Linked DNA regions of Callithrix jacchus. Each later gene encodes a partner of the first gene's protein in a complex. Links are inferred from orthologs where the notes say so. Each region holds a gene or a part of one and is shown on either strand. Other genes may lie near its edges.

What was found.
Region 2: the proteins of ITGB1 (region 1) and FERMT2 are in contact, whole or in part, in a crystal structure (PDB 8TEE), measured with the Mus musculus proteins. The link is inferred for Callithrix jacchus from reciprocal best matches to the Homo sapiens genes ITGB1 and FERMT2. Residues at the interface, in NP_034708.1 of Mus musculus: Ala786, Val787, Thr788, Thr789, Val790, Val791, Asn792, Pro793, Tyr795, Glu796, Gly797; in NP_666166.2 of Mus musculus: Phe609, Ser610, Asn611, Met612, Lys613, Gln614, Trp615, Asn616, Val617, Asn618, Trp619, Glu620, Ala629, Asp630, His647, Ile654, Ser657, Thr658, Lys674, Leu675, Ser677, Gly678.

The regions. Positions count from the first base shown.
Region 1 is NC_133508.1:32,598,379-32,603,782, reverse strand, and holds part of ITGB1 (integrin beta-1), read left to right. Parts: intron 1-1,042; coding exon 1,043-1,209; intron 1,210-2,412; coding exon 2,413-2,487; 3' UTR 2,488-2,493; intron 2,494-5,404.
Region 2 is NC_133509.1:87,561,588-87,567,634, forward strand, and holds the start of FERMT2 (fermitin family homolog 2), read right to left. Parts: upstream 3,526-6,047; 5' UTR 3,352-3,525; exon of another isoform or gene 3,326-3,351; intron 1-3,325. UniProt on the Homo sapiens protein: Scaffolding protein that enhances integrin activation mediated by TLN1 and/or TLN2, but activates integrins only weakly by itself. Binds to membranes enriched in phosphoinositides.

The DNA.
Region 1 (5,404 bases):
TCCTTATCTTTTTATAAGTGTCTTTTGAACACCACAGGTTTCAGTTTTGATGAAGTATGGTTTACCAAGTTTTTCTTTTTGTGAATCTTGCTTTTACATTGTCTGTAAGAACTGTGCCTAACCCAAGATTTTAGAGCTTTTTCTCCTGTGTTTTCTTCTAGAAGTTTATTATAGTTTCTGGTTTCACGTTTAGATCTGTAACTTATTTTGAGTTAGTCTTAGTGTATGGCAAAAGGGTCAGTTTTTTTTTCATATTAGTGTCTACTTGTTCCAGGGGCATTTGTTGAAAAAAGACTGTCCTTTCTCCACCTTTGTTGAAAATCAGGTGACCTTACATGTGTAGGTCTGTTTCTGACTCTGATTGCTGTTCCATGTATCTGAGTCTGTCTGTTAGCTATACCACATGGTCTTGTAGCTTTATAGCTTGTCCTGAAGCAGGTGTCTTCCAACTGTATTCTTTCCAAAAGTGTTTTTGAGACACTTCCCTAGTTCTCTGCCTTTTTTGTAAATTTTAGAATTGGTTTGCTAATTGCTACAGAAGTTCTGCCGGGAATTTGGGTGGGATATCGTTGAGTTTATAGATCCAGTTCAGAAGAATTGACATCTTGACAGTATTAGATTTTGTAATTCATGCACATGGAATATCCCTCCATTTCTTCAGTCTTAAAGATTTCTTTTTATCAGTGTGTAGCAATTGTTAACATGCAGATCTTGCATATATTTTGTTAGACTTATATGTAAGTTTTTCATGCTTCTTCATTTTGTAATAAATGATACTGTTTAAAAATTTCTATTTTCAATATGTAGAAATACATTATATATGTAGAAAAATACATGATTTTTGTTCATTGATCATGTGACCTCCTAAACTCACTTGTTCCAAAAGCTACTTTATGGAGTCTTTGGGATAGCGTGCATTCACTGTCTTGTGTGTTTATTTCTGTATGTTTTTTATAAGATACTGCGCAGCTCTTTGTGGTTGTCGCTGGACTCTGCATGTGTTTGTCCCTTGTGTGCTCCTTACTACCTTCTTATTTTCCAGAGTGTCCTACAGGTCCAGATATCATTCCAATTGTAGCTGGTGTGGTTGCTGGAATTGTTCTTATTGGCCTTGCATTACTGCTGATATGGAAGCTTTTAATGATAATTCATGACCGAAGGGAATTTGCTAAATTTGAAAAGGAGAAAATGAATGCCAAATGGGACACGGTAAGTTACAAAACATCCAAAAACCAATGTGGCTTATAAATCAAATGTAATACTCCTAAGACTTACTTATTAACTGTCAGGCTGATTATTAAATTCCTTTAAATATTTTAGTCCCCCAAAAGTTTCTCATTCAAAGAATTTGCGTTTAATGAAAAACAGGAAGCATCCTAAATATATCTCATTGAAACAAAACATTGATTATAAACACGTATATTCTAGTTACTGTGGCCGGTATTTTTATTTCTTTAATAGTTTTGATCCTAAATCTGCCTTTTCATCTAATGTGAAATAGAATCCTAAATAATGTTACCTGTGTAGCAAGCTATTCAATGGAAAGCTGCTTCTTTCTTTAAAAAAACAAACAAAAAAAGACAAAGAACCTTCAGTGAAAGCCAGATTCAAAAGGTTATATGCCAAGCTTGTCCAACTCGCAGCTCGTGGGTCACATGAAGCCCAGGACAGCTTTGAATGTGGCCCCAACACAAATTTGTAAAGTTTCTTAGAAATTGTAAGATTTTTTTTTTTTGGTGACTTTTTTTTTTTTAAGCTCATCAGCTATCATTAGTATATTTTATGTGTGACCCAAGACAATGATTATTCTTCCAAGGTGGCCCAGGGAAGCCAAAAGATTGGACACCCCTGCTATATACTATGTGATTTCATTTAAGGGACATTCTGGAAAAGCAAAACTATATGGGCAAAAATCAGTTGTTGCTAGGGGCTGGAATGAGGAAAAGGGTTCACCGCAAAGGGCCATAAGGAAACTTCCTGGGATGATCTTGATTTTGGATGTATTTATGTATTTGAAAACTCATGGAACTATGTACTTTAAAAAGGTATATGTTCCTCTATGAAAATTATATCTCAGTAAACCTTGGCTTATAAAAATTTTAAAAGCCCTAAGTGACTGAAAGTTTATGTTAGCATTTAGTGCTTTGAAATATGGAGTCAGTTTCAGCCTCTGTGTATTCATATTTTGATACAAGAAAGCATTGGCAATCTTTAGTTTTTTTAAGTTGTAAATGAATTGTAGTTACTTGCACTTAACTACAGTTTGCTGGAATTTTTTTAAATTATCAATTTTTAAAATTATAAATTTCACAAGGGTAGAAATAGAAAAAAATTCCCTTTATAGTGTTTGAACACTATAAATGTCTATTTTTTTTCTGATGAAATCATTAGAAACTATTTCTTTTACTTTAGCAAGAAAATCCGATATACAAGAGTCCTATTAATAATTTCAAGAATCCAAACTACGGACGTAAAACTGGTCTCTAAATTGCCGTTCGTATTTTCTTTCACTTTCTGCCTTTGCATGTGAACATTTACTTTTTTACTGCACTGTGTGCCCTTTATCACTATTGCTTTTCTTTTAAGTCTGGCTTTATTTATATCGCTATTGCGGCTTTTCTTTTTGTGTGTTAACTTCGTTTTTAGAAAGACTAAAATAAGTAATGTGGTATAGAAACAGCAGCTGTGTTGTAGTGAGAAGAGAATGTGATTTGCAATCAGACCTCAGGTCAAACCCCAGCTCTTCCACTTAGTAAGTAGAACAGCATTGAGCCACTTCACTTCTCTCATCTATCAAAGGGAGTCAGTATTCTGTATTGTATGGGGCAATTGTATTTGGCAAATGCACTCCAGTATATGAAATCAGCTTGTGAGCTCTAATCCTCACAACAATTCTATGCCTAGAATGATAGTATCCTTTTTTCTTTTTCTGTTTTTGGTTTTGTTTTGTTTTTTTGAGACAGAGTCTTGCTCTTTCACCCAGCCCGGGGTACAGTGTTATGATCTCCCCTCACTGCAACCTCTGCTTTCCAGATGCCAGTGATTCTCCTGCCTCAGCCTCCCAAGTATCTGGGATTACTGGTGCCTGCCATCATGCTCAGTTAGTTTTTATATTTTTAGTAGAGACGGGGTTTCACAATGTTGGCCAGGTTGGCCTAGAACTCCTGACCTCCAGTGATCTGCCTGCCTTGGCCTCCCAAAGTGCTGGAATTACAGGTGTGAGCCACTGTGCCCCCACCAGTATTATCCTTAAATAACAAATTGTTAGAGTAAACTTAGGGTTGGGTAGTGAAAACTGATCATGGACTCCAAATTGCAAAATAGAAAATTAAATGTAAGTTGTGTGGTATGCAACTACAATATCATTATTATTGTTTCTCAGAAGATTTGAGATTAATTTATTGAATATAACTTTAAATTTCATTAAAAGCTGGAAGACCATATTATATATATATATCTTTGTATATTATATATATGTCTGTGTCTGTGTGTGTATGTGAGAATGATTCTAATTTTCAAGTGTAAGTTTGAAACTGTTCCTGTCTGAATTTTCATGAAATGCTTCCATCGTATTTCAATATAATCATGCAAGCTCCTAAAACTCAGTGATAACCAAGGTTAATTGTGATTAGAACTAAATTCTCTTGACTGGTGATCGGGAACTCTTCTTCTCTTTCCCAGTTGACTGACTGTAATAGGGCCTGGAAGATTTCCAATTTTCTCACTGCCTACCTTATTTTGCAGATAAAGACGGTGTTGGTAACACTTACATAGAACTCATTGTGTCTCAGGCATGATTGTAAACACTTAATCTATATTTAATCTTCATAGTGAAAGTTGAAGGAATGATGTTTATACCTGTTTTTTTACATATGAGGAAACTGAGACACATAAGGGTTATATAACTTGACCAAATTCACATGGCTAGTTAGTCAGAGAGCTGGGATTTGAACCCAGGCGATTGGGCTCCAGAGTTCATGTTCTTGTCTATGATATTCTACTTGGTAGCAGTTACGTATCTTCAGAAGTCCCTGTTACCTGGTTAGGAAGAGGTAGATCAGTCTTCTTTAGAGATTTACAGAGTTTTGACAATTTGTTGTTCCTCTGTCGGAGTTAACACCACCTCTGTTGGCAAACATCTTAGTAGGGCAGTCACTTGAATACATGGAACCCAATGCCGCAGTTATGCTTATTGACTGTTGGGAGTGTGCTTACAAACGGATCATGAAAAAGAGCCTAAGTACAGGAATGTTTAATAGTTATAAGTGATATAGGAAGTACTGATAATATTAGAAATCATTAACTTGTCAGATTTTTATTTCTAAGTAGACCATAAGACTTTTTAAAGTTAAATTTGATGGCAGAAAATTATATTCAGATTCACATATGGGCAGGGTTGGAGCATATTTGTATTAGTGTGTGATGACATGTTTTTCTTGTTCTCACTTAATACTTTACAGAAAGTCATTTTTAGAGGAAAACTGATTAGTCAATGACATTGCCAGGCTTTTTTTTTTTCTTTTATATTATTTTCTTTAGTTGTAGGAAAAAAAAAATAGTCAAATATTGACAATTTCATGTGGTTATTTTTCACGGGAGAAAAAAATTTCTTTCAGACAGAGAGGTGAAATTTTCACCCTTTCCGTACCTTTAATTGCATTTTGAAGGCCGGGCGCGGTGGCTCACGCCTATAATCCCAGCACTTTGGGAGGCCGAGGCAGGTGGATCACGAGGTCAAGAGATTGAGACCATCCTGGTCAACAAGGTGAAACCCCATCTCTACTAAAAATAAAAAAATTAGCTGGGCATGGTGGTGCATGCCTGTAGTCCCAGCTACTGGGAGGCTGAGGCAGGAGAATTGCTTGAACCCAGGAGGCAGAGGTTGTGGTGAGCCGAGATCGTTGCATCGCACTCCAGTCTGGGTAACAACAGCGAAACTTCGTCTCAAAAAAAAAAAAATAAATTGTATTTTGAAGGAAATTATCAGTAAATGTTATTTAAACTTAATGCTTATAATGTATATATGGCTAAAATGTTGTTAAAAGAAGCATTTAATGTAATTCAAGAAGCAAAAGTTTGGTAAAAATTTCTTTGCATTATTGAAGTCCAGGCAATATGATTATTTTTGAGATATTTTCTCAAGAAAAAGTAGAACTTAACTAAGTAAAATTGAAATAAATTAATAAGCATCAAGAAATTATATCATAGATTGTAAAAAAAATTTCTGATATGGACCAAGGTTTGCCCGTCAATTATGTCACCAATATTTTTGAAATATTTCGCAGGCACTAATTACTTTGGCATAAGTAGGAGCGGTAAAAAGAACGTGTCACATTCTCAGCTTCTAACTATTGGAGTGGGTTAAAAAAATTGTCCTCATCTGCTGCTATGCAGGTTTAAATGT
Region 2 (6,047 bases), on another chromosome or scaffold:
GGGCCAGAGTGTAGACTATGGCAGACAGGCTACACAGCCCCCAGTAAGCCCCACTGATATGGTTAGACTCTGTGTCCCCCTCCAAATATCATCTCGAATTGTAATCCACCGGTGTTAAGGGAAAGAACTGGTGGAAGGTGATTGAATCATGGGAACTGTGAGTCAATTAAACCTCTTTCCTTTATAAATTACCCAGTCTCAGGGAAGTTCTTTACAGCAGTGCGAAAGTAGACTGACATACTCACCTCCTAGCATTCTCACCTTGTATAATCTCCTCCCCTTGAGTGGGAGCGGAACTTGTGACTTGCTTCTACCAATAGAATATGGTATAGGAGATGGAATGTCACTTTTGCAATTACTTTAGGTAGACGGTAACTTCCATCTTGCCAGTAGACTCAATTGATTTCACTCCTGCTGGCTTCGATGAAGTAAGCTGCCAATGTGGAGAGGCCCATGTGGCAAGAAACTTATGGTGCCCCCTGGGAGAAGGCGAGGAAGAAGCTGAACCCCTCCACCTGACAAGCAACACTGAACGGAATCCTGCCAACAGCCATGTGAACTTAAAGGCAAGTCCTCCTCCAGTTGAGCCTTCAAAGAAGCCCCAGGTTTGGGTGACACTGTCATTGCAGTTTTGTCAAAGACTCTAAAACAGAGGATCCTGCTACCCTGTGCCTGAATTCCTGGCCCAATAAATGGGGTTGAATCTACTGGAGAACCAGCTGGACAAATATATTAATAGAGCCCTACTCATCTCACCACTGTAATAAATTCTGGCTAGATCACAGATATAAATGCTGAACACAAAATCATCTTTATGTAGAATATATTGGGAAATTTTTTCACAATTTCAAGGGAAATACTATCGAAATGACAAACTTTATAGAGGCCAAGAATGAAAAGGTAAATTCAACAACATGAAACTAAAAAGAATTCTGCAAATCAAAACTACATTGAGATACCATCTCATGCCAGTTAGAATGGCGGTCATTAAAAAATCTGGAGACAACAGATGCTGGAGAGGATGTGGAGAAATTGGAACACTTTTACACTGCTGGTGGGAGTGTAAATTAGTTTAACCATTATGGAAGACAGTGTGGAGATTCCTTAAGGACCTAGGAATAGAAATTCCATTTGACCCAGCAATCCCATTACTGGGTATAGATCCAGAGGATTATAAATCATTCTACTATAAGGACACATGCACACGAATGTTCATTGCAGCACTGTTTACAATAGCAAAGACCTGGAACCAACCCAAATGCCCATCGATGATAGACTGGACAGGGAAAATGTGGCACATATATACCATGGAATATTATGCAGCAGTCAAAAACGATGAGTTCGTGTTCTTTGTAGGGACATGGATGAATCTGGAGACCATCATTCTCAGCAAACTGACACAAGAACAGAAAATCAAACACCGCATGTTCTCACTCATAGGTGGGTGTTGAACAATGAGAACACATGGATGCAGGGAGGGGGGCACTACACACTGGGGTCTGTTGGGAGGAATAGGGGAGGAACAGCAGGGGGTGGGGAGTTGAGGAGAGATAGCATGAAGAGAAATGCCAGATATAGGTGAAGGCGAGGAAGGCAGCAAATCACACTGCCACATGTGTACCTATGCAACTATCTTGCATGTTCTGCACATGTACCCCAAAACCTAAAATGCAGTTTAAAAAATAAATAAATAAATAAGAAAAAAAAGAATTCTGTATAAAACCAATGCTGTAAGTATGGAAGGAAGAAAAAAGAAACTGGAAAGAAACCTTCCTACATGTACATTGACAAAACATGATTTTCCCTGATACGCAGAGTTCAACAAGTCAGAACAAACAGCAATGAGACAGAAAGCAGGCAGAGAACGTGGTTCACAGAGCAGAACACGCATGTGGCTCTCAAACATAGGCAAAGATGCTCAACATTTGATAAAGATGAAACCAAATTAAAATTATGATAAGGTAACTTTTTTTTAACCCTTCAATTGGGATGGGTAAAAAAAGTTGGAATATTCTGTGCTAAGGGAGGGGAAACAGGCCCTCTCTTTTTCTTCTTTTTTTTTGAAGCACAGTTTCACTCTGTCACCCAGGCTGTAGTGCAGTAGTGCAATCTTGGCTCACTGCATCCTCCACCTCCCTGGATGAAGCGATTCTCCTGCCTCAGCCTCCAGAGTAGCTGGGACTACAGGTATGTGCCATCACACCCAGCTAATTTTTTTTTTTGTATTATTAGTAGAGATGGGGTTTTGCTATGTTGATCAGGCTGGACTTGAACCTGACCTCAGGTGATCCTCCCCACCTCAGCCTCCCAAAGTGCTGGGATTACAGGTGTGAGCCACCACACTAGGCCAGAAATAGGTACCCTCATACCTGTGAGTATAAATTGGTACAGTCTCTATGAAGGTCAGTTTGACAAAATATCTATCAAAATATCCAAATTTGACATAGAAATCCCACCTCTAGAAATTTTACCTACACATGATATCTTTTAAAAGATTGTCACTGAAGTACAGACTGTAATAGGAAAAGATGGAAAATAACCAACACGTATATGAACAGGGTATTCTTTAAATGTCTAGTGAAAATGAACAAATAAACAAGGCAGTTCTGTTTGCACTGACATGGTTTAGAAAAACAAAGACGAGAATATTGTGTAAGGCTATTTGTACAAAAATGATTACATACACCAGACATGCTTACACATGCAAAGAATATTTCTGGGAAAATACACAAGAAACTTGCTTCCAGGAAGAACTAGGTGGCTGGAAAAACAGAAGTTAGACAGTTTTTCTTTTATAGTTTTTTGAATATTTTCGGTGAATATTACGAATATATCCTCTATTCACAATTGTTAATACAAAAATGAAAAGGAAGTAATGTTTTGACACCCAAGGGCTCTCTCCAGGACTTAAAAGGGCGTGCTTTTTAGGCAAGAAAGAGCCAGTGAATGCCCCTCTGTGGGCGCAAAAGGAGAGAACACCCACTGCCGTTTTAAAGTACATCTTAAAATAGTGTGTTGCAAAGCTCAGTGGGCTCAGCCCTTTATGATTGTTGGTTAGAAGGCTGTCAGGGATCATTTTCCAAATGCCAACTTACAATCCTCTACCATCCAGAAAGTTTTTATCCCTGTGAGAATTTTTAGAATTTAGAGAATGCAGCTAGTAGAGCTGACAGCCCCATGCAAAGCAGGTGGGGAAGCTTCAGAGGGAACCACTAGGTCCCCACGCAGCTATATTCTCACTGTTTTCCTTCCTTGTTCCAGCCAGTGCTACTGCTTCTTTCCTGGGACCAGCTTTTGACATAACTCTGCAGCTGAGGCCACTGACCTTTCCTCCCCGCTTCCCTCTCTTACTTAAGTCTGGAACAGCTCTTGCTGGCACCTCTGCAGCTGTGACTCACTGCAAATGCTTTGCATTCCGGGATGTTCTTCAGGGCTTTGGGTCTCTCCTGTGGCTCAAAGAGCCAGGCGAGTTGAAAGGGAGGAGAAAGAGGCCCTGTAGCTGCCAAAACGTTGCAGCCTTGAGGTGGAAAATTGAAACGGCTTTGTGCCGGAAGGACCCCAGCCAGCCCCTCCCTCTCTTGGGCTTGCTTGTAACTGGAGCAGAGCTAGGGGACGCCTCCGTGGAGGCTGAGTCAGCTGGGGGTTGTTCCAGCCCCAAGAGGCTCCATTCACAGACCCAGAAGCACCGCACCCCATCTGGAGACCATCTCCATCTGTCCATGAAGGACTGGGTTAAAGCCACTCTGGAAAGCAGAAATGGGGGTGTCATCTAGAAGTACTGTTTGTCTCAAGTGTCAGTTTACCTTTAAGTCACTGGAATGATTTGTCAGTTCGTTCCACCTCCTCACCGTCTTCAGCTGTATACAATTTATGTTTATATTCAGGTCAATCAACATCTACTCACAACAGCTACGTTCTTCCCTGCCTCTTAAAGTGACGAGACTCTATGTTGAAGGTCTTTCGGTAAAACAAATTAGCGTCTAGCTGCCCAGGTTAATTCAATGGAGATGGGGGAGGGTAGGCTGTGCTCGCTCACCTTCACTTCGTTCCTGATCCTCTATAAAGACTCCAATGGGGCATAATTTTAAAAACCTTATAAGTAAACTTTATCGATGTAAACTTACATATAATAAAACACGCCCGGATCGGCTCCGTTTGCAAAGTTGAGTGTCTTGAGAGGTCAGATAGCCGTCAGACATGGCACCTGGACCTGAACATGGACATAGTAAAATGGAATTTCCAGATTATAAACAATGGAAGATAGAAGGGACACCATTAGAAACTGTCCGGAAGAAACTGGCTGCAAGCGGGCTAAGGGATCTATGAGGCTGCACTGAAGCTTGGAGATACACGGGTGGCTTTGCAAACAATGTTTCCTTTCTTGGTGCACTATTAGAAGGATTCAAATGGGGATTTGCTGCATTTGTGGTAGCTGTAGAAGCTGAATATTACTTGGAGTCCTTGCATAAAGAAAAGAAGCATCACTGAAGATAATAGTTGGAAGTATCATAGTGGTTTCTTAACTCTCCCAAATAAAATTTCTTCACTGTAGCCTACTCATCTGGCTTGTCCCTTAAAGAACATTAGGAAGATTTAATAAAGTAAATTAGTATATATGCCAAAAAAAGCCTACCCATTTTTGGTGTATAATGTGATGAGTTTTAGCAAACATATGTACCCATGTAAGGCATAATTTGAAGCTAATGGCTTAATAGATATGAAAACAATGAAATAAATGTCCATGGGGGGGGTCAACAATATTTCATATTCACTTACATTTCTCTAACTCCATGGGTACAACATCATCACATGTTAAGGCTCTTTTGCTATCAAACAATATTCAATATAGTTTTACTTGGATTTCATAGAAGAAAACAACTTGGACTAAATAGAAAGCAAAATTGAAGTGGAAAAAATTACTAGGTTTATTTTTAATTTTATTTTCATTTTACTTTGAGTTCTGGGATACATGTGCAGAACGTGCAGGTTTGTTACACAGGCTAGATTTCAAGTAAATTTTTTTTTCCGTATAATATTAGCTCTTTAAATTTCTTTGTAAAATTAAGAAATTTTGCAAGTAATGGTGTTTTTTTTTTGTGAACCACACATTTCAATTTTATACATTGACTGACCTCTACAGAAAATGAGGATTATTATACCACCCCTCTCCTCACATTCCCCTCTCCTCAACTGCCATATAATTTTTTATTTTGATAAGTTTATAACACTAACATTGTCTTCAGTGATAGTCCAACAGTTTTTGATTGATCTATATTTAAATTTATTTGGTGTTCACCAAAACCTTTATTTATTTATTTTTTTGAGATGGAATCTTGCTCTGTTGCCTGGGCTGGTGTGTAGTGGCATGATCTCAGCTCACTGCAACCTCTGCTCCCTGAGTTCAAGTGATTCTCCTGCCTCAGCCTCCCGAGTAGCTGGGATTATAGGCACCCGCCACCAAGCCTGGTTTATTTTTGTAGTTTTAGTAGAGATGGGGTTTCACTATCTTGTCCAGGCTGGCCTTGAACTCCTGACCTCGTGATCCACCTGTTTTGGCCTCCCAAAGTGCTGGGCTTACATACATGAGCCACCACACCTGGCCCACCAAAACCTTTTATAAGGCTTCTGCTCCTTTATTTTTTTCCCTCAAAGTCTTCCTTTAATTGCCAGGATATCAAGTAGTTTTTCTGAGACAGGCTCACGGCTGCTGTGTTTCCTGATTTTTTTCTTGTTTGGGAAAGCCCACTTTTCCAAGTGCCGGAATTTATTTGGCTAAGATCCTTGGGTTACACTCCGTTAGCCATTGCTCCACTGTCTTCTGCCATTAAGTTCTGAGGTTAGCCTGTCCCCTGCATATAATGTGTTATTATTTGTCTGAATGCCTGAAGAATTCTTTATTTTTGAGTTTCAATAGGTAGGTCATGATATGTCTCAGTGTTGGATGTTCAATGTTGAAGTGCTTTGAAACACAACGTGTTCTTTGATTCTGCAGATATACTTTTCTTTGTTTCAGGGATTTTCTCTTGATTATTTTTCTGTTCAATTTG